Linked DNA regions of Elephas maximus indicus. Each later gene encodes a partner of the first gene's protein in a complex. Links are inferred from orthologs where the notes say so. Each region holds a gene or a part of one and is shown on either strand. Other genes may lie near its edges.

Region 1 (7,743 bases):
CTGACCTTGGCTGAGCAGCTGCAGGCTCCGCCCCTCCTCTTGCACCTGCAGACGCAGCACCTGCTGCAGCACCTCCTGCCGCTGTGCCTCCTGCACCAGCCCCATCCTCTGTAGCTTCTCTGCGTTCAGCCGCAGCAGCGCCCGGCCTAGGGGTGGGAGAGGGAGCAGGAGCCAAGGTCAGCACGGGCCACTGAGAACTGGGGAGAGACAGACAGACAGACAAAGACATAGGAGGAGAGAGACCTATATAGAAGGAAAGAGATAAAGCAGAGACATAGGCAGAGAAAGGAAGAGACAAAGACAGAAAAGCAAAAACTCAGAGATAAGGAAAGAGCAAGAGAGCAAGAGGGAGGGACCAGGATGGAGGGCAAAAGATGGGAACAGAACAAAGAATGGCCAGAGGGACAGAAACAGGGACTGAGGAAGCCAACGAAGGAGATTGTGCAGAAAGACACAAAGACCCAGGAGAGGCCGACTCAGAAAGAGAAGAGAGATGGAGCCAGGACAGGTTGCATGTGGCGGGAGGAGGCTGACTTGGGGACCCCCCCACAGTCCTCCACTGACCCTCTCCCATTGACCCTTCCATGAATTTACCATTCCCCACTGCCTCCCCTCTGAGCCTCCCCTTCCCCCCCCACTGACCCTTGTCACTGCTGACCCCCCCACTGATCCGGTTTGTGGTGGGTGTCCCCCTGGATAAATTCCCTCTGCTTACCCTTCCCCCCCCGACCCCCGGCTGAGCCCCCCCTTCCATGGCTACCCCTTCCCCACCTCGTACCAGTGATGGCATGCTGGGAGAAGGCCTCGACGTAGATGAGGTAGTGGTGGGGACAGTGCTTCTTGAGCCACTTGCACACATCCTGCTGACTCCACAGGACCACAGGCCGAGTCAGGCCACCCAGCGAGTGGCTCATGTGGTACAGGCCACAATGATCAGAGTACAGCCGGCCCTGTGGTGGGGGGCAGGTAACATTGAGGGGGTGGGACAGGGAGGGTGGGGCTGAGGGAGGGGTGGGCAGGCATACCTGGGGGGGCTCGGAGCCCGGCTGCTGCAGGAGCTTGACTGGCCTGCCGCTGGCTGCCCTCTGGCTTTGGGCATCATGCCATGTGAGGCTGGTGCCTGGTGTCCGGGGCAGGTGGCAGGGGATGCTCTCAGCAGATACCGTGTGCTCCAGGAGGGTCCGGCAGAAGCTGAAGTGGGCAGTGGCTGGGGTGCACGGGTGTGGTCAGCAAACGGTGAGGGAGAAGCCCGGAGGCCCCTTCGCCATGAGCCAGTTCCCTGCCCAGCCCTACCTCCACTCCTTCATCAATGGGTTCCCAAGACCCCAAAGGCAGGAGGAAGGGTACTGGAGCTGTCCGGGGAACCGAGCAGGTCAAAGACGAGGAACTAGAGACACAGTCCCCTTCCAATCCCATGGCCCACACAGGGGGAGCAGGACAGACTAGAGCACAAGTGTGCTCCCTGAAGCTCAAGGCTTCCTGCTAGGGGAGGGTCCATCCTGGGCTGGCACACCTGCCTCCCACCTTGGGCTGGCACACCTGCCACACACAGGCCCCACAATGCTGGTGTACACGCAGGCTAGCCTTTGAGGAGAGGCTGGCCCCAGGCATCCAGGAGCCTCCCCCAGGCAATGCCCCTGCTTTGGTTGGCCAACTGTGACTCACTAACAAGGAGCCTGAACCTGGGCAGGCCCCAAACACATTCTGGGCTTTCTTGCTGGGCCATCTTTGCATGGGCTGTTCCCCACTTCCCATGGACCCCTAGGACCGCACAGCACCGGTTTGTGGTGGGTGCCAGGGGCATGTGCTGCTTGGCACAGGTGTGTAGGATGCATATCAGCCCTCTTTCCACACCAACTGGATTACACTCACCAGGTTTTAGTTCCCCAATAATTTCTGGAATCATTGCCAAGAGGAGAGCTCAGGGAAGTCAGACACCTGGATGGTACCCCTCCCACTCAGGGGGATCTCTGTTCCCAGCAGGCGGCCTGGCCCACAGGGGGTGAGTGAATAAGTGAATGAATGGATGGAGGCTTTGTGTGGGGTCTGGGAGAGATGTGGAGGGTGGGGTACAGACTTGCCCCACTTTTACAGCGCTGGTCCTGACCCAGCAGAGCAAGGTAGATTCTGCGGAGAAGCCCCCCAGCAGTAGAATGTGAGACCCTCGCTCCCACAGCCTCCGCCCCCCAGGTCTTAACCAGGAGGTCTCAGGAATACGGGAAACTCACATCCTATCCTTGGCTCCCCCTTCCCCACACAGGGGGCTTCCTGCAACTTTCAGGGATCAGATGGGCCCAGGTGACTAAAGTTGAGGTCTAGGAGTGGACACAGAGTGTGGCTAGTGTAACCATAGCCCCAGAGTGGCTTCTAGTAACGTGGGAAGGACGTGTTCTGCGCCCGGCCCCTCCAGGAGAGGCACTGGGGTCTGGCTCTTGCTGGGCGGCACGCTGGGGCGCTCCCTAGGATCTAGTACGACCGTCGGCCGCCTCCGCCCGCGCGCACCTGCCCCGGCCCGCCGGCCCCGCCCATTTCCTGCTCGCGTCCTGGAGGGGGCTCCCGTCAGTCAATCCGTCTGCCGGTCCGTTGGTCTGTCCCTCCTAGCCCAATGTCAGAATTCCCGCAGGAAATGGGGCGGGGAGGGGGCGAGGGAGGGGACCGAGCCAGGCCATGGCCTCATCCTGCTCTCGGCCCGGCTGCCTGGGCTCGGGAGAGTTTTCTGTGAGCGAAGAAAAAGGTGACCCCAGTGCGGTGCCAGTCCGAGGACAGGAGCGCCGGCTGGACCACCACCAAGCCAAAGGCGCGCTGACCCCCAAGGCCTGAGGCCGGCCGTTCCCTTCCCCTCCCGCGCAGGACAAAGGCCACAGGGACTCCGTTCGGCCAGAACCGCCTTCCCCCCTTTGGTCCCCGCCTGGCCCGCAGCGGCCCTGCTCACCGTCCACATCCCGGCGCTCCCCGAAGCCGGCGCGCACGGCCCCGGCGCGGCCTCGCGGGGGGCTCAGCTTGGACCTCAGCTCGGTGAACATGGGTCCCCGCGGTCCCGGGCCGTATTCACACGCCCCTCGCCGAGCGCAGGGGGGCCGTGTGGCACGGGGGATCGCGCGCCACCGCCCCGCCCCGCCCCGCGCCGGTCCCCGCTGCCCAGCCGGTCCCCGCGTCCGGCGAGTCTGCGCGGCGAGGCACCTGCCCGCCAAGCCCTCTCCGCCGGGCGCGCTCCAGGAGCTCCGAGGTGTGGCGGCGCGCGCGCCGGTCTACATGTGCAGAGGTGGTCAGCCGGGGCCAGGGGCAACCGTGCGCACCTGGGCACGGCTCCGGGGACGCGTGTCCCTGTGCACCTGCTGGGGGCGGGCGTCTGCAGGGGCCTCTGGGTGGGGTACGTGAAGACATGTCGGTCCCCCTGTGTGTGTGGGGGGGGCCTTGTACATCCCTCTGGGGGCTTCTCCCCACGGAGCCCTCCCAGCCACGCCTCCCCTCCTCCCTCACAGGCTTACTCGCTTAGCCCTTCAGCACAGTTCTACGGACCTCTCCCCGGGCCTCGCTTCAATATGCACCTGCTTCCTCAGAGATGCCAACTTGGCCTGCGCTTCCCTAACCACAAGGCGCTCTGAGGACCCAGCGTCTTTCGAGGACCCAGCGTCTTTCCCCTTCCCTCAGTAGCCCCAGAATCTGGCTCAGGCTTGGACGTTATATGAGACGCAGTAACTGAGGGGGGAATGGGTCTGGTGTGGGGAGGGACGCCAAGGAAGGCTGTAGCAGGTGGGAGGGACCCCCAGTGAGAAGTGATGGGCAGGCTGGGAGCAGGGAAAGGCTGGTGCGGTCCACCAGAAGCCTGGTCTCGCATGTTCGTGTAAATACGTGCATGCACACGAAGTCTGACCTGGACAAAGGCCCCACAACACACATGAACAAATGCTCTCATAGAATTCACTCGCGTGCCTGGAGCCCGCACACGTATGCTCATGCGACCATCCACGGTATGTATCTGTTCTTGTGAATTAGACTGCATTCAGGGGTCTCTTGTGCCAGGAGCTGCCGCGCCCTCGCTAGAGTATCCAGGGCCTGGGGGGTGTGGGGAGGGGTGTGGGGCGCTTTGCTGACCACCAGGGACTGGTCAAACTGGGGCCGAGGAATCTGGCGCCAAGGTGCAGGGGCGAGAGTGTGCACACAGGGTGTCCCCATCACAACACAACCCTGCGCAGCTGCGCACGCCCCGCTCAGGTGGTCAGCCCTGCCAGGGCCACTCGGAAGGGCTGCTGGGTCGGGTCAGAGGGAGGAGACCACACGGTCCGGGCCCTCGGGCAGGTCTCCTCGGGCACCGCACAGAGCAAACACTCGGGAAGCGTAAAGGCCATAGGCTCAGTTTTGGGGTTCCGCGGGTTTACACAGGCTGGTGTTGCCCTTTGACACCTCGGGCCGGCCGGGCACCTCCCACCTCGCCACAAGCTGGCGCTCCCGCACAAGCGCCTGCCGGCCCCCCAGTGCTACAGCCGCGGCCGGAAGTCGTCGAAGCAGCGTTTCCGGAACTTCCGGCCGGGGAGCCTGAGGGGCGGGGCTTCGCTTGGATGGCGCACTCTGCTTCCGGGGCGCGAGTGACGTGGGGCCGCGTCCTCTTCCTGCGCCCAGGCAGTTGGGTCTCTGCTTTTTCGCTGCGGTTGCGGCCTCACTTCTTCTCTTCCCGGTCTTTGGCGTTACCGCGGCCATGAACAAGAAGAAGAAGCCGTTCCTGGGCATGCCCGCGCCGCTCGGCTATGTGCCGGGGCTGGGCCGCGGGTGAGGCCTGGGTCGCGGGGCCAGCAGAGGCCGGGCGGGCGGGGCGGGACGCGCGCTCCGGGAGGGGATTCCGGGCCGGGGTCGGGCGTAGGGGCTGCTCCCTCTGGCCCGGCCCGGTTCCGTCCGCGGCTCTGCTTGCCTGGTCGACGCTGGAGGCCCGCCCTGACTCTGCCCGCACTTCTACCTGGAGGCAGCAGGACCTAGGGCATCCCGTGGATCGCGACGGGGAAGACAGACAATAGTAAATGAGGCTCTGAGAGATACTAGGTGGTTTGGCCTAAGCCCTGTGGGAGGCAAGGGGCTTTGGAGTCAGGACAGACCTGTCTGTCAACCTGCCTACTACTTAGTAGAGTGTTTCTGGGTTTAGGTACATATCTGAGCCCTTTTTTGCGTCTCTCCAGTGGGCGATAGATAATGCCCGCTTGAGATCCGCTGTGATAGATGAATCCCTGACATGTAGTGGGAATTCCAGGACCGGCTTCCCCAGACGGGGCAGGCCCACTCCTCCAGCTTGTCTTGCCTTTCCTCAGCGCCCGGGCTGGTTAGGTCCCTCTGTTGTGGCCACTCCTAGTGTTCCATTCTTTCTCTTTAGTATCTGCCATCATAAGCTGCTTGTTCAGAATGTCAGCTCCACAGGGGCTGGAATGGCATCTATGAACTTTGTGATTGGTCTCCCACACCTGCAACACAGATGGCCACCCTAGGTTGTTGAATAACTGAGCAGTCATTATCCTATTTGTTTGGATATTCATTTGGTTTGGAAAACTACTGCGTTTCTCTCTTGTGAGTACTAAGAATCTGTGGGGTACACGCAAGACTCAGATGTTGACCCCCTGTACAGAGGAGCTGCCTTCACTAGGGAAGGTGAGGTATTTGCATAAATAACCACATAAAGAGGAACAGGTTGAGAAGCCTTTGATCCAGATTTAGGAGGAGGGTCAGGTTTAGAGATGCAGAAACATGGCAGGGGTAGAGGAGACTGACATTCTGTATGTGGTTAGTGAAAAACAGGAGTGGCTTGGAGGGAGACGGAACAGCATGGAGTCCCATATGAGTGGAATGTGCAGTGAGTAGAAGGCAGCTGGAGGGGCCAGTGGAGCATTGCACATTAGGTTAGAGCTTGTGTCAGCATTGGAAAGACAGTGACATGTCATCTTGTGTTGAAGCCTGGATGAATCGGGTAGAGCAAGGGAAGGCTACAGGCAGGGGTGGCTAACTTGGCATCCAGCTATATTGGGGGCCATACAATCTGAGGAGGAGAGATTTCAGATGTAGAATCAAAAGAACTTGGAGCAGATTGGATGGGGCTGGGGAAGGAGGGAGGGAGGGAGGCAGAGTTGATGCCATGTGCTGCCTTCAGCTGAACTAGGGTACCTGGAGCAGGAGAGGAGTGCAGTCTTGGCCAAGTAGGGTTTGAGAGACTGATTGGAGTGGAGGTGGAGATGATCAGCGGGGTGTTGGAAACATGAGGCTAGAATTTGGGAGGTGGGAGGCCATGATGTCCTGTGCAGGGAAGGCTTGGGTGAGAAGAGGTCTCCTTGGTGGCGCCCAGGGTAGGTTAGAGGGGTCATTGCCTAGAGGAATGAGCACACCAGTGTGTTTGCAAGTGGCCATGCTTAGCTTACCACCCCAGGGTCTTTCAGAGGTTTCTGAGGTGTTAGAGGGGTGTTATTAAGCGATGGTCGAGGTTGGAGAGGAAAACACAGGAACAGGGTCACCCAGATGTGGCAGGGGGTGGAATCCATATGGATGTCCTGGGGTCTCCTGCAGTGCCACTGGTTTTACCACCCGGTCGGACATTGGCCCTGCCCGGGATGCGAATGACCCTGTGGATGACCGCCATGCTCCACCAGGCAAGAGGACCGTTGGGGACCAGATGAAGAAAAACCAGGCTGCAGATGACGATGACGAGGACCTGAATGACACCAACTATGATGAGGTAATGTGTGGTGTCTTCTGTGGCTCCCTGGCCAGTCCCTGAAGGGAAGGGCTGGACAGCTTCTGTTTTTTTGGCTTTAACAAACAGGAACTTCTTTCACAGTTCAGGAGACTAGATTTCTGAATTTAGGGCTCCAGTTCTAGAGGAAGGCTTTTTCCCTCTGTCAGCTCTGGGGCGAGGTCCTCGTTTCAACATTTGTGGACCTTGTGTTCCTTGGGAATCTACATGTGTCTTGGCATCAGTCTTACCATGGGTCTGGGAGGATCTCCGTGCAGGGACCGCAGGTCCAAAGGACATACTCTGCTCCTGGTTCTTCTTTCTTGGTGGTAATCGAGTCCCCTTTCTCTGCTCGCTTCTCTCTCCTTTCATCTCTTGTAAGATAGAAGGCGATGTAAGCCACACACCAGGAAAGCTCGCCTTACATAGGATCACGGCTATGACCTGAGTAAGGGTGTTGCATCCCACGCTTATTCTCTTTAACATAACCTAGTCTTGCCTTGTTAACCACAAGCAGAGATTAGGATTTACAATACACAGGATAGTTACACAAAATGGAGGACAACCATGGCCTAGCCAAGTTGACACACATGTTTGAGGGACAGATGAGGGTCAATCCATGACAATGACCCAGGACTTTTCTGCATCCCAAACACTCGCATGTTGTTGTTGTTAGGTGCTGTTGAGTCAGTTCCCACCATAGTGACTCTACAACAGAACAACACTGTGCCACTGCTGCAGCCACCATGTCAGTCCATCTCCTTGAGGGTCTTCTTTTTTGCTGACCCTCTACTTTGCCAAGCATGATATCCTTCTCCAGGAACTGATCCCTTCTGATAACATGTCCAAAATATGTGACAAAGTCTTGCCATCCTTGCTTCTGAGGAGCATCCTGGCTGTGCTGCTTCCAAGACAGATTTGTTTGCTCTTTTGGCAGTCCGAGGTATATTCAGTATTCTTCACCAGCACCGTAATTCAAAGACATCAATTCTTCGGTCTTCCTTATTCATTGTTCAGCTTTTGCATGCGTGTGAGGCAAT
Region 2 (7,191 bases), on another chromosome or scaffold:
CAAAACACTGCCATATTGCAGGCTATGGCCTGGTCTAAAATGAAGTCTGTGTTGGTGTCGGCATAGAGTGTTGTAATGGATACAAAGCTGCACAATGTTCAACCCTAATGACACATGACAACAGAAATGTGCAAGCACCCAACAGCCATTACTACTCTGACTTCATTGTTACAACACTGATGATGACTTCATTGTAATATTCTTCCGTGTACCTGGAACACTGAATCTTCTTGGGAGGAAGTTACGGGAAAACGCATGCAGGGGATTTGGAAAAAAATGCTGGGTTATGTGAACACGCTCCAAGCATTTGATTGGGATAATATGATGGAAAAGATCGGTGGGAAAATCGTCCATATGGCAAGAACTCTGAATTTAGAACTTGATATCACTGATGTGGAACAGCTCATAGGCCAGAAAGAAGGGGAACTGACAGGTCAGGACTTAATGGGTTTTGAAGGAGAAAGAAATACTGAAGAAGAAAGAAATGAGGAACAGGAATGAGAGAAGTTGTCAAAAAATTTTACAGGGAAAGGATTAGCTAAAGTTTTTTCTAAACTAAATCAGGGGCTTCAGTTGCTTGAAAACATGGACCCAAATGCCGATCACCTTGCTAAAGTCGACAGGGAGATTTGGGAAACAGTGAGATGTAACCATGAGGGAAAAAAAAAAAAGGCCCATAGAAATAACTCTCACTAATTTCCTGACTAAAAATGCTATCACCATTTCCAGGGGTAATGCAAATGATCCAGAACCTTCCACAAGTGGAGTTATTACTCCAACTGACAAAATGCCAATCTGTCCAACTCTTCTTCACTGTTGGAGTAAATTTTTATGATCTGTGTGTTTTTTATATATGTATTAAAATACATATGTAATATGTAATGTTTTCAACCCCCAAAGACAAATAAAGATTGGATTTATAAAGATATTGACAATAAAAGGCAATAATGATGAAAACTAAAAAATAAAGAAGTATTCAACTTACCTCAGAACCAACTTACAATGGAGTTGTCAGAACAGAACCCCATTGTAAGTTGGGGACTACCTGTATATGAAGTACCTGACACATTAAAAAAAAAACAAAGCTCATGATGAGAACTGTAAGAGTTTCAATGGCTGATTTTTTTTTGAAGTAGATCACCAGGTCTTTCTTTTAAGGTGCCACTGGGTGGACTCAAACCTCCAGCCTTTCGGTTAGCAGTCAAGGGTGTTAACTGTTTGCACCACCCAGTGCTGTGTAACAAGGGATAAAAGACGCATACATCCAAAAAAAACCCACAAAAACCCCACTGCCGTTGAGTTGATTTCGACTCATAGTGACCCCATAGGGCTTCCAAGGCTGGAAATCTTTACAGAAACATACTTCCACACCTTTGTCCCACAGAGCCGCTGGCAGTTTTGAACCACCGACCTTTCAGTCAGCAGTTGATTGCTTTAACTGCTGTCCCACCAGGGTTCCTTGACGTACACACAGGGAGGAATTACACAACAGAATAATCATGACTGTACTGATTAACTTTGCTCCCTCAAAACCTAAAATATTTGACTCAGTTTAAGGGTATAAGGAGTCACTCTCAAGGAACTTATCTCCATTGTCATTAATCATTTGAAAAATGTTCATTTAATGCCTACCACACACCAGTCAGAATGCTAAGGAAATGAAGGTCTGAGAAAAGCACAGAAATGATAAATAACACTATAAGAATATACACATGACAGAGTCCCACTGCTATTTCCACCACAGTCTGGGAAGCTCCTTCTTTCATGTCGTACACTTATTGACATGGTTAGGTTCCAAAAACCAGGTCGTTATATGAAAATGGAGGATAACCACAAAAGATCACAAAATCGAGGATGGGTACATCATTACATAACTGCCAAATTACATCATTACGTAACTGCCAAATCACTAAGAATCATGGCATAGCCAAGTTGACACACAACCTTAACCATCACGGCCTGCGTTACTCTCATCTCACATCTTCACATGCATTACTGCCAGACGTACATCGTTAATGCACAAAATAGTCGGCTGGTTTTGCTATTGTCATAAATGCGAAACGTCACATGATAAGAGAGTATATAAGTGAGGAGTGAGGAGTAGATTTAGTCTTTCCTGTTATCCAGTTCTCTCACTCAATAAATACTTGTTGAGTGTTTCCAGCACGGTTCTAAACCCTAAGGATAGAATAGCGAACAAAACCAAAGCTCTGCTCTCATGAACATATATTCTAGTGGGGGGAGGCGGACATTAAACAAAGAAGTACATATTTAATATGAAAAAATATGCTATGAAGAAAAAAAGCAGGGTACGCAGACTGGGGGGCAGGGGAAGAGGGAGAATTTTATGTAGGTGGCCAGGGAAGGCCTCTTTGATGAGATGAAATCTGAATAAAAAGCTGAAGAAGTTGTGGCTTGATCCACAAAGATATCTGAGGAAGAACATTTCTGGTAAGAGGGAAGGGCAGCCTGTAGGACCATCTATTACTCTGCATCTTAGTTCCTTGCTTGTTTCCTTCACACCACATCATACTTCCTATATATCTCATATTTATGTTTACTTTTTCATTACAAGTCATCCAATAGACTATAAGCTCCAAGTGGGGGCAGAGATCACATACGTCAACGGTGGCGTCCTTGGTGTCTGGAACAGTGTATCTGTTGACTGAATGAATCATTGTTACGCTCAGTACCAATAATAAATAACTCCTAAACTTCATTACCACGCTTTCCACGCTTTCTATCAGAATCCCGACAGCTCCAGGAAGCGGCCAGAGATAATTACTCCCATTCCACAGATAAGGGTGAGACTCAGAGAAGGAAGTGACGAGAGTGGGGAATAACTAGTGGCAACGCGGGCTTCAAAAAGGAAAATACCTTAAGGGCTGAGGCAAAACTCATAGGGGGAGCATTTACCGAGGGGATGGGGTCAGATTAGGCCGTGGTAACCTGGAAAGAGACGGCACGATAGGCCCCTTTCCCGAGACCTTGGAGAAAGCAACGCAGTTACGCGAAGCCTAACAGGGCCTGCGCTGAGAGTGCAAAGCCGCCCTGAAGGGAGCACCTTAGAACACACTCACCTGGTCGACGTCGTCCGCCATGTTTCAAACCCTGCGCCCTTTCCCTCCTCTCGCGAGAACATGCCTAGCATCCGGCGCCCGTGAACGGGAGGACGCAAAGCACCGGAAGTAGACAGATCAGTATTGTTCCTTCTTCGTGCAGTTCACTTTGGCCATTCGGAGCTGGGGCGGAGCTTGTCCAAGCCGGAGGGGGTGTGGCCATCCCCGCCCCGCTCAGGGGCGGAGCTCGCGCGCAGGCTGGTTTCCGCGGCCGGATGCGTCACTCGCGTGCAGAATCTCACCGGGAGCTATGGGTCGGAGACGTGCTGTCGGCGGGGAGCCGCGGCGACGCCAGCCACGCGGACGGAACGCTGAAGACCGGAACCCGGCCCGGCGTGAGGAGGAGGAGGAGGCAGGTGAGAGCGAGGCCGACAGGGCCGAGGGGTGAGATGCTGAGGGCGGGCGGGAGGCAGGCCCGCGAGCGGATGCGTGAGACGGTGTTACTTAACGATCGGCTAGGGAGGCAGGCGGAGCCCTGCCGGGCCGTTATGTAACTGGTCCGGCCCTCCCCGACTTCCCTGCGCCTTTGTCCTCCACACCACGAGTGTAATGTGTCCCGAGCCATCCCCCTGGAGACCTACCTGACCACGAGCTCACCTGCATAATCTCCTTCCTGCTCCCTGTTACCCACAGGATAAAACCGAGTGTTACCTGTCTCATCGCAGATGCTCAAGGCTGAATGGGGAAGAGACGTTGCAGTGTTTTGCATGTCCCCAGAAGACGGACCAGGGCGTAGAATTACTTTAGTGTGCTGACTCCCAGAGTAATATCTTCAGCTAAGTCTTACCCAGAGTTCCAGTCTAGGCTCTGACTCTATTTCTTTATGGAGCTCTTGCATATGAATTGGCTTCTTATATTTATCACAGGTAAAGCAAAGCTCTTCCATTTCCCCTTTAAACTTGTTCCTTCCCCAGTTTTTCTCATCTCAGTAAGTAAGCCCTTCAGCCACTTGTTAAAGCAAAATCCTCCTTTCCTGCCTTTTCCTTATGTACACAACATTGCAATCCATCAGCGAGTCTTGTCAATTCAACCTCAGAAATAGATCTCATACCTGACTGCTTCTTTTAATTTTCGTCACCACAGCCCTTGTGCAAACCACCATCACTTTCAGTTAAATGACTGCACTTGTCTCTTTCCTGGTCTCCCTCTTTGCCTCATTCCCCTGCAGTGGGTTCTCCACTCAGCAGACTCAGATCATGCTACTTCAAACTCCAGGGCTTCACATTGTTATTAGCATAAAATCCAAATTCCTTACCATGACTTACAAGATCCTGCATGATTTGGCTACTGCTGCCTCTCCTACCACTGTTTTCCTTGCCAGATATGCTTCTTACTGGCCTCCTTTCTGTTCCTCAAACTTGCCAAATTATTTCTCACCTTGAGCCCTTGCCTTTAATGTTCCTTCTGCCTAGAATGTCCTTCCTGGCTCTTGCCATGGCTGATTTCGTCCATCCCTTTAGGTCTCAACCCAGAGCTTTCTGTCTAAGGTGGACGTCCCCAAGTACTCTATCATACCCAGTGCCGTTGAGTCGATTCTGACTCATAGTGACCCTACAGGACAGAGTAGAACTGCCCCATAGAGTTTCCAAGAAGCGCCTGGCAGATTCGAACTGCTAGTGCCCCAATTATTGCCCTCATAAGTCTTATCGTCTGTAATGCTCTTGTTAATTTATTGTTTCTTTTGCCTGTCTCACCAGAATTTAAGTTCCATGAACACGTGTCACTTTTTGTTGTATCCCATTTTTGTCTTCCCCTCATCCCCACATATAGGAAGTGCTCAATAGATATTTTGAGTAATTGCCGAATGCGTGCTCAAGGAGGGATTTCTGGGGTTCCAGAAATAACTGGGTAGAAGATTTGTTTAGGTAACCAGTAAGAGTTCCTGTAACACTAGATTCTATGATTTTGTACATATTATAAGTTCATCACCCATTAGGAAGGAGTCAAGTGGTAATAATTCCTAAACTTAGGCGATGATTTACCTTATATTTAAATAATAATGTGAGTTCCTTTGTATTCATTCATTTACTCATGTGTTCATTGAAGTGAAATTTTTTTGAGTACCTACTATGTGCTGTACATGATGAGCTAGGTGACATGAGAGATAGAGATTTCCTGGGGGAGCTTAGAGTATACTAGTGTTGATGTGACATTTGCACATAAAATATCTAAGGTGAGGTATATTAAACATCATGGGAGAAGGTACAAAAGCCTTTGTGGCTTCCAAAGGAATAATCAAGTTTGACTGGAGAAATTGTGAAATGCTCTCTGAAGGAGTTATGTTTGATCTTTGACTTTAAGGATGGATAATCTTAGCAAGCAGCCTTGAAAGCCAGTGGATGTTCTAGTCAGAGGGAATGTATTCTGAATGTTACAGTTGAAAACTTACAGGTTTTAATAGGATGGAAATGTTTCCTTTCTGGGTAGTATTCATCCCAGCTCAACACTTACCCTGGGAGCCAGCTTGATATAGCTCTAACACAGTGGTTATGTGCACGTGTGTAAATTATTTTAGGCAAATAATTTAACCTTTCTGAAGCTCATCTGTGAAACAATCTTACCTTGCAGGGTGATTGTGAATGTTCATAGTGATAGCATATAAAGCTTCTGGCCTGGCACCTGGTCCCAAGTTAGAGCTAGCTAATATCATTCAGCTTAAACGTAGGTGTCTTAGCCTCAGTTCTCTAGAGGAGCAAAACCAATGAAGTATACATAAAGATACATAGAGAGAGAAATTTTACTTCAAGGAAATTGTTCACACAGTTGCTGAGGCTGGTAAGACCCACATCCATAGGTCAGGCAGCAGGCTGAAGACCTCTGCTGGTTCACGTGGTTGCAGGAGCTGATGAACCCAAAATGTGCAGGTCAGGCAGCAGGCCAGAGACTCCTGCACGCTTGAGTCCCAAGAACTGGAGGTCAGGAGATGAGAAGAGTCCAAGTTGAGAAAGAGAGGGAGCTTTTCCAGAATATCCTTTTATATACCAGAGGCAAGCTGCACCCCCAAGGGGACTCCCCTTTCGACTGATTGGCTGCTCACATCAAATCATAAAATAGAAGGTAATTATATAGTGTCTGCCAAACCACTGAGAATTAGCCTAACCAAGTTGACACATAACATTAACCATCACAGTAGCTAAGGATACCCCCAGGCTTCACTCAGACTTTGCCAGCCAGCAGAGTTAAAACAAGTTTCCAAGGCAGCTTCCGGGATCTGAAGAGTTATAATCTTTGCTGTGGTTCAGTGGAGGGGCACAGACTTAGCAATTGTGGTTTGGGCTGCAGGTGACACTGCCGATGACTCTTCAGTGTAGAAATTCTTATAGAACTCTCGGTTTTAACAGCATGCAAATGAAAGTGACACTTGGTTGCTTGCGGCAGTTAGGAACAAAGAAAACAGTCTTCCACATTATTTGTTTATATTGGGGCACCTCTGATTTCTTCATAATTCTTTCATTGATGTAATTCATTAATTCCTTCAACAAATATTAACTGAGCATCTACTATTTCCAGGCACTATTCTGTGTGCTGAAAGTGAAAAAGACAGACAAGGTCCCTGCTCTCATAATGCTTATATTCTTTTGGGAGGGGTGGGTAAGGTAGACAACAAGTTAAAAAAAAATTCACATGGCAATAAGAGCTATGAAGAAAATAAAACAGGATGCTGTAATAAAGCTGATAGAGATAGCTAATAGGATGAGTAGCCAGGGAATGCCGCTAAGGAGTGATATTTTGAGCCAATTATTGGATATTGTGAAGGAGCCATTCATAGGAAGTCGTGGGGAGAAAGAGTTCTCCAGAGTAAACAGTAGGTTCAAAGGTTCTTAGTGTATCGATTATATCTGACAGTCTAGGAGCCCTGATCATCAAAGACAAAGTTGAGGAGTCGGACTGAGCGGCAGAGGGAGGGAGAGAAAATTCAGAAGCAGGGTGCCAGTCTTGAGCTAGCCAGCACCCTGCAGGCTGGTTCAGCTGGTGCACGTGGCCATAGACCTGTGTGAGCCAATTCAACAGCATAGGTCCTCGTTAGCATAGGGATATATTCCTAAAGTCTATTTTCAGCTGCAGCAGCCAA
Region 3 (7,993 bases), on another chromosome or scaffold:
GACTTCTTACTCATGTTGAAATCCCCTTTGTGGATTTGTTCAAGACTGTTAAGTCACTTTTGGAGAGTCAGTTTCAAGCTTGCTTTGATAATTTCTTTAGTCTGAACAGAGGAGAGACAACTAGGGATGAGGTAAAAGCTGGAATTCCATAGCCCTAACCAAGGCCAGTTTTGCTACAAGAAATCATTGCAGTTAAGTTCCGGTATCTTCTTCCTAAGTCTCCTATTAGACAGTACAAGGTAGTGGTGCATGTGAGGAACTTGCAAAGGCCATGGAAGACGGAGACGTGCTTGCAGATACACCCCCAAAATGAAGGGCCTCCCACTTTGCTGGTAACAGAATTACCTGGAGAGCTTTTTAGAAAGGTAGATCCATCCCCAGGACCCCCCACCTCCAAGGTGCTGAGCAGTTGGAGGGGCACAGACCACTGCCTACAACTTCAGTGAGGCTCCCATAGTACCGGCATCCAGAGGCAGTCACATGAGAATGGGAGTGGAGGGGCAACTGATGGACTCTACCTAAGGCAAATGGATGGGAAAAAAGAATGAAGAAATAGAGCTGAAAAGAAGACCTAGGAAACATGGCATTCGATGGAAGTGAGCAGAAAGGCAAAAGGAAGGAACCATAAAATTACAAACGTGGGTGTAGAGCTGGGTGAAACAGCATTGGCCAAGTGTCCGGTGGCACATGACCGCAGTGAAAGCAGCATGATGGCGCAAGGCTTTGTGACCCCAACTCCTCCCGGAGTCTCTGCTTCCAGAACACCAAGCTAGTCAAACAAAATTCTCAAGAAATTCCAGACTATCAGGCTGGTCAAATGGGTCAACATACAGTAAAGGAATGGCTGCAACAGAGGCAGGCAGTCCTACAACATCCTTCTCCTGTGGATAGATGCAGCAGCTCTGGGGAGGGCTCTTAAGATCAGCAAATGGTCCTGGCACCCTCAAGCTAGGAGTGAGCTCCGTGGACAGAACTCCTTTGAATGCAGTAAACCCAGCCTGGAGACAATGCCTTCAACCCCTCAGTGTCGGCTCTGTCGCTTTGCAATCTCCTCCTGGATGCGCAATTTGAGGGCCTCTCGCATGGGTGGATCCAGAGGCGTGTGTGCTGACACCTCCTCACTCACCCTTCCGGGGTCATCGTCCTACGTGGAGGAAGAGTCAGGAAGCTCAGGGCCTGGCCTCTTCTGGAAAGGCAGCCTGCCCCATCCCCAGACAATGCTCTCACAGAACTCCGTTTGGCTCACGGCTTCCTGCTGGCTCTGTCATTTCCCAGATTATCCCCTGTAATAGTGATTCTCAACTGGGGGCACGAGCCTTCCCTGTTCCCTTCTGAAAATCACTGTGAGATGGGAGGGAGTCGTGTTTGTAAAGCATTGCCCAATAGTCCTATGCTCCCACGTGGAATGCACTCTTCCCACTGGCCCTGAGTCAGACAGCAGCTCAGGGTCTGGCAGTAACGCCTACCATGGCCCAGGGCCTTTAGGCTGCAGCTGTTTCCACAGGAGGCGTACCTGATACACGATAACTGACGTGACCTCTCCGCTGTCCGCCTCATATTCTAAGCAGAAAAGCTGATGGCCAGAAGGCTCCAGCTCAGATCCACCACTACTGTTGCTGTCACCGGACTCCTCATAGTCTGGGTTGCCTGTGTGAGTAGAACCATCTGGAGGGATGAACCAAAGTGAGAGGGAAGAGAGGGAGGCAGTTGGAGCCCTTGCACACAGAGATGACGCAGGAAAACAAAGTCCCAATCTTCTTATGGGCCCTGAATTGTGTGTATGTGTGTGTGGTGTGCTACCAATTAGAAGCAGTTTTATTTACCTTTATATCATTGCTGGGAACCCAGCACAGTCCTTTCACATAGTAGGTATACAATGCCTGTTTGTCTGGTGAATAGGATTGGAAGGTATTGGAGGAGTGGATAGAACAGTCTCTGGAGCCACTGCCTGGGTTCAAATCCAGGCTCTGCCATTTAGTAGCTCTCAGATTTCAGGCAAGTTACTTAACTTCCCTGTGCCCAGTTTCCTCACTTGTGAAACAGATGTGATAATCATTTCCATCTTACGGGATCCTACGAACACTAAATAAGTTAGCGTATGGAAAAGGTAAAGGCACTATTGCACTGTTAGTTACTCTGATCTCTAGATCCCAGTGAAGCTAGGGAAAAATCCATTTACTGGGTTTGGGTTTTATTCCACAATTGTGTCCTGGTCACTTATAGCTGGGCCAGGTTTCCCCTCCGCCAAGCACTGCAGATACAGAGGTACGGTATGGCGGGGCAAACCCACAAACAACTTTTTGCTACAAGTATCTCCTGTAACAGCAATCGGGATTTTTAAGTGGGGGCCATGAGTCCTCCCTGTTCCCCGGGGAGAATAACTAAACCGAGGTGGGGGACGGCTGAAGCAGAGGTTCCGGGCAGGGGCGACGTGATCGGAGCCTCGGGGGACGAGAAGTGGTTTTTTTCCATACAGAGAAGGGGAGTGCGTCGCAGCAGAGGGCCCGGGGCCGGAAGGGCGCGCGGGCTGGAGGAGGCAGGCGGGGCGGGCGGCCTCACCTCGGCGTCGCGGCAGGTACACCTGCAGATCGGGCTTGCGGGGCCGCGTCGGCGCGGGCGTGTGCCGCCTCCTCGCCTTCTCCTTGGCTGCCTGCTTCACCTTCTTGTCGTAGTCGTCCCTATGGGGAGCCGAGCGGGAGTCAGGGGCGGCCCGGCTGGGCCAGGCAGGGGGTGGCGCCGGCGCGGGGAGGGGCGATACCGAGCGATCTGGTTCCGTCGGATGTGCTGCACGAAGCCGTGGCTCATGTCCAGTCGTCCGCCAGGCTTGCAGCAGAGCCCCGGCCCGGGAGCCGGCGCCGCCTCCATCTGAAGCCCTGTTCGCGGAGCAGCAGCCGCCTCAACGGTCTCAACGGCCGCCCTCCCGTCGGAAGAGGCCCGCCTCTCCCTTAGCTCAACTTCCGGCTCCGCGTCGTGACTTCCGGTCCCGGACGGGCCAAGGAGGCCGAGTGCTGCTCGCGCTGAAATGACAAGGGAGTGGCGGAGTGGGGAGGCCAGGGAAGCGCTTCCGCCACTTGACCGGGCTGTTTGTTTCCTTTGTAACATTATCAATGCGAGACAAGACTTAGGCTTACTGCTCAGAAGCCAAAATACATCAGGAAAGTACAAATCACCCATTGTATTACTCAACGTCCCTTGTGGAGCCTTCCTGTCTTTATTCTGGTGATAGGATACTGTGAACCTCCATCACCAGCCGCGTGACCTAATCCCCCAGTGCCTCAGTCTCCGCACTTGTAAATGGGGACACGGATAGCACGCGCCTGCTAGGTTGGTAGGAGGCAAAGTGCTGGGCGGCCTGGGCGAAGACGTGCCGCCAGCCAGACCTATATAATTTTCGAGCTCTTTTTGAAAAAAAGATAAAAGGTAGGAATTTATGATTAAAATAGGGCCAACTGTGTTACATCAACACAATGGAATACTACTGAGCAATCAAGAGGAATGAACTGTTGATAAACCAACAACGTGGAAGAATCCCCAAATGATTATGCTGAGTGAAAGAAACCAGCCCCCCTACCCCGCAAAAAAAAGAGTACGTACTGTAAGGGTCCGTGTATTTAAAACTCTAGGAAATGCAAATTAGTCTATAGCTGGATGGGTGGGGCAGGGGGACACTTCATTATCTTAATTGTAGTGATGGTTTCACCGGTGTATACATTTGTCAAAGCTTACCAGATTGTACGCTTTAAACATGTGCAGTTCATTGTATGTCACTTATACCTCAGTAATCGGAAAACCAAACCCGTTGCAGTCCAGTCATTCCAACTCATAATGACCCTATATATAGGACAGAATAGAACTGCCCCAGGGGGTTTCCAAGGAGAGGCTGGTGGATTCGAACTGCCGACCTTTTGGTTAGAAGCGATCTCTTAACCACTATGCTACCAGGGCTCCTATAACTCAATTAAGAAACCAAACCAAGCCCGTTGCTGTACAGTCGATTTTGACTCATAGCGACCCTAAAGGACACAGTAGAACCGCCCCATACAGAGCTGTTAAAACAAGAAACATACTAGTACAGGGGTTAGAAGGGGGTGGTGACAGGCCCTGAAGCCTGAGTTTTACCAGCTTCTTGGTAAATCTGCCCCGATTGGGCATTTGCTTACTCCTGTGGTACCAAGGGAAACTCTGGCAACGTAGTGGTTAAGCGTTCGGCTGCTAACCAAAAAAAAAGTTCGGCAGTTCAAATTCACCAGCTGTTTCTTGGAAACCCTGCGGGGCTGTTCCACTCTGTCCTATGGGGTCGCTGTGAGTTGTAATCGACTCGACGACAGTGGGTTTGGTTTGTCTTTTTTTTTTTTTTTTTGGTTTGGTTTGGTGGTACTAAGAGCAACGCTGTCGGAATTGGGGCCACCAGGGTGCTGCAAAAAGGGGATGTCGCCTAGTTGTACTGCGCAGGAGCGTCAGGCTCTGACATCCCGAGACCGTGGGAGCCAGCCTCCCGATTCTGGTTTTCAGTCACAAATATCTTGAACAAATCTAGGGCCGTATGACACCTTCTTTGATTCAGAAACGCGATTGCCAATAAAGGGTTCCTGCTTCTTGAAACTGGAAATTACGAGTAAGGTGGCTGTAGGCCCGCAAAACATTCTCAAGAGCGCTCGCAATGGCAAGCAAAACGCTAAAAGCGCGATGACTCCTGCAAGTTTCCGGCGGCGCGATTTGTCCCCATAAGCGACTCGTAGAGTCCCCTGGGCTCGGTAACAGCGCCGCTCCTGATTGGCCGCGTGACGGGCACTCCCAGCGTGCTTGGCGTCTGCGCGGGCGGGTCGGCTGGTAGTGGCGATGTCTAGCCGGTCCAAGCGGGAGTCTCGTGGTTCTGCCCGCGGGAAACGCGAATCCGAGTCCCGGAGCAGCTCGGGTCGCGTCAAGCGGGAGCGAGATCGGGAGCGGGAGCCCGAGGCGGCGAGCTCCCGGGGCAGCCCGGTGCGCGTGAAGCGGGAGGCAGAGCCTGCGAGCGCTCGCGAGGCCCCGGCGCCCGCCTACCCAGTGGTGCGGGTGAAGCGGGAGCGCGAGGCGGATGAGGACTCGGAGCCTGAGCGGGAGGTGCGAGGTGCGCGGGGCCGGGCCGGGCCGGGTTGGGCCGGGCTCCACCCTTCCTCGTCCTTTCTTTCCGACTTTCTGAGACTTCCCTGCAAGGAGTGGGGGTGGGGGAATCCAGATGTCAACGAGGACAGTACTAGTATTAGTAATGAAAAGCCCAAACCCGAATGGTTGCCATCGAGTTGATTGGGACTCATGGCAAGCCCATGTGTGCAGGGTAGAACTGCACTCTGTAGGGTTTTAAGCCTGTGACCTCTTGGAAGCATATCGCCAAGCCCTTCTTCTGAGCCGCCTCTGGGTGGGTTCCACTCGACAACCTTTAGGTTAGTATCCGAGCGCTTAGCTGTTTGCACCACTTAGGGACCGCTAATATTAATAATTGTAGTTGTAGTATTTTTGTTAATATTAACAGCAGCCTGCCTTTACTGAATCCCTATGGAGGGTCCGGCACTGGGTTGATTACTTCTCAGGTGTTAACTCCTTCACTTTTTACAACAAAGCTGAGGTGTGTGAGTTTTGCTGTAATTTCTGGGATCAGACCGTTCAGTTAAGAGCCTGAGTGCTGTGCACCTGCATAAAACTACCCCGTTATCCCTTTGGGGTGTAGCAGTCAGGAGGTCTGGATTCTGGTCCTTCCTCTGAGATTGAGTCACTCTGGTTTGGGCAGGTGGGTTTCATATTCTGGTCTGTCTCTAAATTAGTGGAAGTAGCCCTGCCAGTGAAACTGTTACTCCCTCCATGAATTCCCCCTTTGCCTCCTTCCTCTGGGCTCTTTCGGTGTCCCCTAGTACTTGTGAGAGGGTGAGATCTGGAGAACCATCGCCCAGCCTTGGTTTTCTGTGTAGAGTGCTCTCTCTTCCTACTTGTTGAAAGTCTGTTGTTGTCATGGAGTCGATTCCAACTCCTGGCGTCCCCATGTGTGCAGATGGGACCTGCTCTGTATGGTTTTCTAGGCTGCGACCTTTCAGAAGCAGATCACCAGGCTTTCTCCTGAGGCACTGCTTGGTGGGCTCAGACTACCAATCTTCCTGTTAGTAGTCAAGTGCTTCACCATTTGTGCCACTCAGGGAATCCTGTTGAAAGTCTACCGCTCATCAAATAGGTGCCTGCCACCTCTGAGGAGTCCCTGGGTGGTGGAAATGGTAATGCTTGGCTGCTAACTGAAAGGGTGGTGGTTCGAGTCCACCCAGAAGTGCCTCAGTGGCCTACTTCGGAAAAATCAGCCATTCAAAACCATGTGGAGCACGGTTCTACTCGGACACATGTGGGGTTGCCCTGAGTTGGAGTCCACTTCACAGCAGCTGGTTATCACCTTTGTAACTTTTCCTGTCCAACCCAATTACATCCTCTATTCCTTCTCCCAATTTTGTACTCTTGACTTCAATATATTCCTGTATACTTGTATTCTGGTGAGTTAGTAGAAGTCTATTGAAATGGCAGATGCGTATATCACTCATCTACATGCTAGCGGAGGGGGGCGGTGTCTGGAGGGGTCTCTTGTACCTTGTGGTACTGGTTATCTGTATATGATTATACTGTAATATTTGCTCTTAAATTTCTTGGTCAGGTTATCTGTTTGATATATTTTTGTTTTATGCGCAGGGTCTAGTATAGCATCTTGCTCATAGAAAACCAAACCAAACCCAGTGTCCTCGAATGGATTCCGATTCATGGTGACCCTATAGGACAGAGTAGAACTGCCCCATAGGGTTTCTAAGGAGCGCCTGGCAGATTCGAACGGCCGACCTCTTGGTTAGTAGCCGTAGTACTTAACCACTACGCCACCAGGGCTTCCTGCTCATAGAAAGAGCTTGATTATCTTTGAATAATAACTTCAGGGTATTCTCTGACTTCCTTTACTTAAATAACTGTGTCAGCCTCAGGTATCCCCTTCCTGGCAAGGGAAATGGTTTGTGAGATATTTTGCATAATTGTGGTGAGGAGATTGTTTTCTCTGGTGGACGTATTAGGATTCCAGTTACTGTTAATGTCTTTAAAAAAAATTGTGAAATATATCACAGGCATTAAGATGGACTGAATTTACAGTGAACAGGTACCGTTTAAAGATGAGCATGAATATATATCCATAAATCTACCACTTGCCAAGAACTGTGAAAGGTCTAAGATTTTATCCTATTTGCAGGCTAACAAGTTAGTCTGGCACAGTTTCATGGATGCTGATAAAAAATATGGAACTCCTGGTTCAAAGACAAAGGACAGTTTATTACTCACAGCAGTAGCAGTGGTGAGACTACCAGCATCTGTGTGAGTTCCCTGAGTCAGTTCCCACAGGGCGGCTTGGTTCACCTGTACACACGGTGCCTCACGGGAGAGGAACCCTGAGCTTTGAGAACCTGGATCTTTTATAACGGACAGTAACCTTGCCTTTACTTTGTAAGGAAACACTGTTTCTCTCTTTCAAGGCTGTTCACTGTACCAACATCCCTGACAAGATGATCTGCAGCAGAGGCTGGCAGTGCCTCTGGTCACAAGATGTGCAGAAAAGTGAGACCCATAGAGAATTGTCTCCTAACACCATTCAGCTTAAGAAGTACCAGTACCTTAGAAGCTCCTGTAGGCCCCTTCCTGGTTGTATCTGCTTCCTTTCCTGCTTGAGTAGTTGCTGTCTCGAATTTTCATTGCATTATTTTCTACTTTACAGTTTTATCTCATATATGTACCATTAAGTTGCACAGTGTTTTGTTTCGTGCTTGATGTAAGTGGAGTCTTACTGTATGTAGTCTTTTGATTTTCCCTTTTGTTTTTGTGAGACATGTTTTTGAGGTTCATCCAGATAGATGTTCATGGCTCTGTAATATTCCATGGGTGATGTACCAAAATGTATTTCACTATTTTACGTGTGATGGACATTTGGGTTGTTTACAGTTTTGGCTCT

The links. Proteins that work in one complex are often made in the same cells at the same time.
Region 2: PRPF6 (region 1) and LSM3 share a complex: the UniProt entries of both Homo sapiens proteins name them as parts of the U4/U6-U5 tri-snRNP complex. The link is inferred for Elephas maximus indicus from reciprocal best matches to the Homo sapiens genes PRPF6 and LSM3.
Region 3: PRPF6 (region 1) and USP39 share a complex: the UniProt entries of both Homo sapiens proteins name them as parts of the U4/U6-U5 tri-snRNP complex. The link is inferred for Elephas maximus indicus from reciprocal best matches to the Homo sapiens genes PRPF6 and USP39.

What each region holds. Positions count from the first base shown.
Region 1 is NC_064843.1:4,137,548-4,145,290, reverse strand, and holds the start of PRPF6 (pre-mRNA-processing factor 6), read left to right. Parts: upstream 1-4,605; 5' UTR 4,606-4,696; coding exon 4,697-4,767; intron 4,768-6,537; coding exon 6,538-6,706; intron 6,707-7,743. Other genes in the region: SAMD10 (sterile alpha motif domain-containing protein 10), read right to left, coding at 1-146, 779-950, 1,026-1,207, 2,933-3,023. UniProt on the Homo sapiens protein: Involved in pre-mRNA splicing as component of the U4/U6-U5 tri-snRNP complex, one of the building blocks of the spliceosome.
Region 2 is NC_064838.1:39,858,080-39,865,270, forward strand, and holds the start of LSM3 (U6 snRNA-associated Sm-like protein LSm3), read right to left. Parts: upstream 3,185-7,191; 5' UTR 3,102-3,184; coding exon 3,081-3,101; intron 1-3,080. Other genes in the region: XPC (DNA repair protein complementing XP-C cells), read left to right, coding at 3,370-3,475. UniProt on the Homo sapiens protein: Plays a role in pre-mRNA splicing as component of the U4/U6-U5 tri-snRNP complex that is involved in spliceosome assembly, and as component of the precatalytic spliceosome (spliceosome B complex).
Region 3 is NC_064835.1:48,987,931-48,995,923, reverse strand, and holds the start of USP39 (U4/U6.U5 tri-snRNP-associated protein 2), read left to right. Parts: upstream 1-4,809; 5' UTR 4,810-4,839; coding exon 4,840-5,107; intron 5,108-7,993. Other genes in the region: C17H2orf68 (UPF0561 protein C2orf68 homolog), read right to left, coding at 2,192-2,678, 2,759-2,865.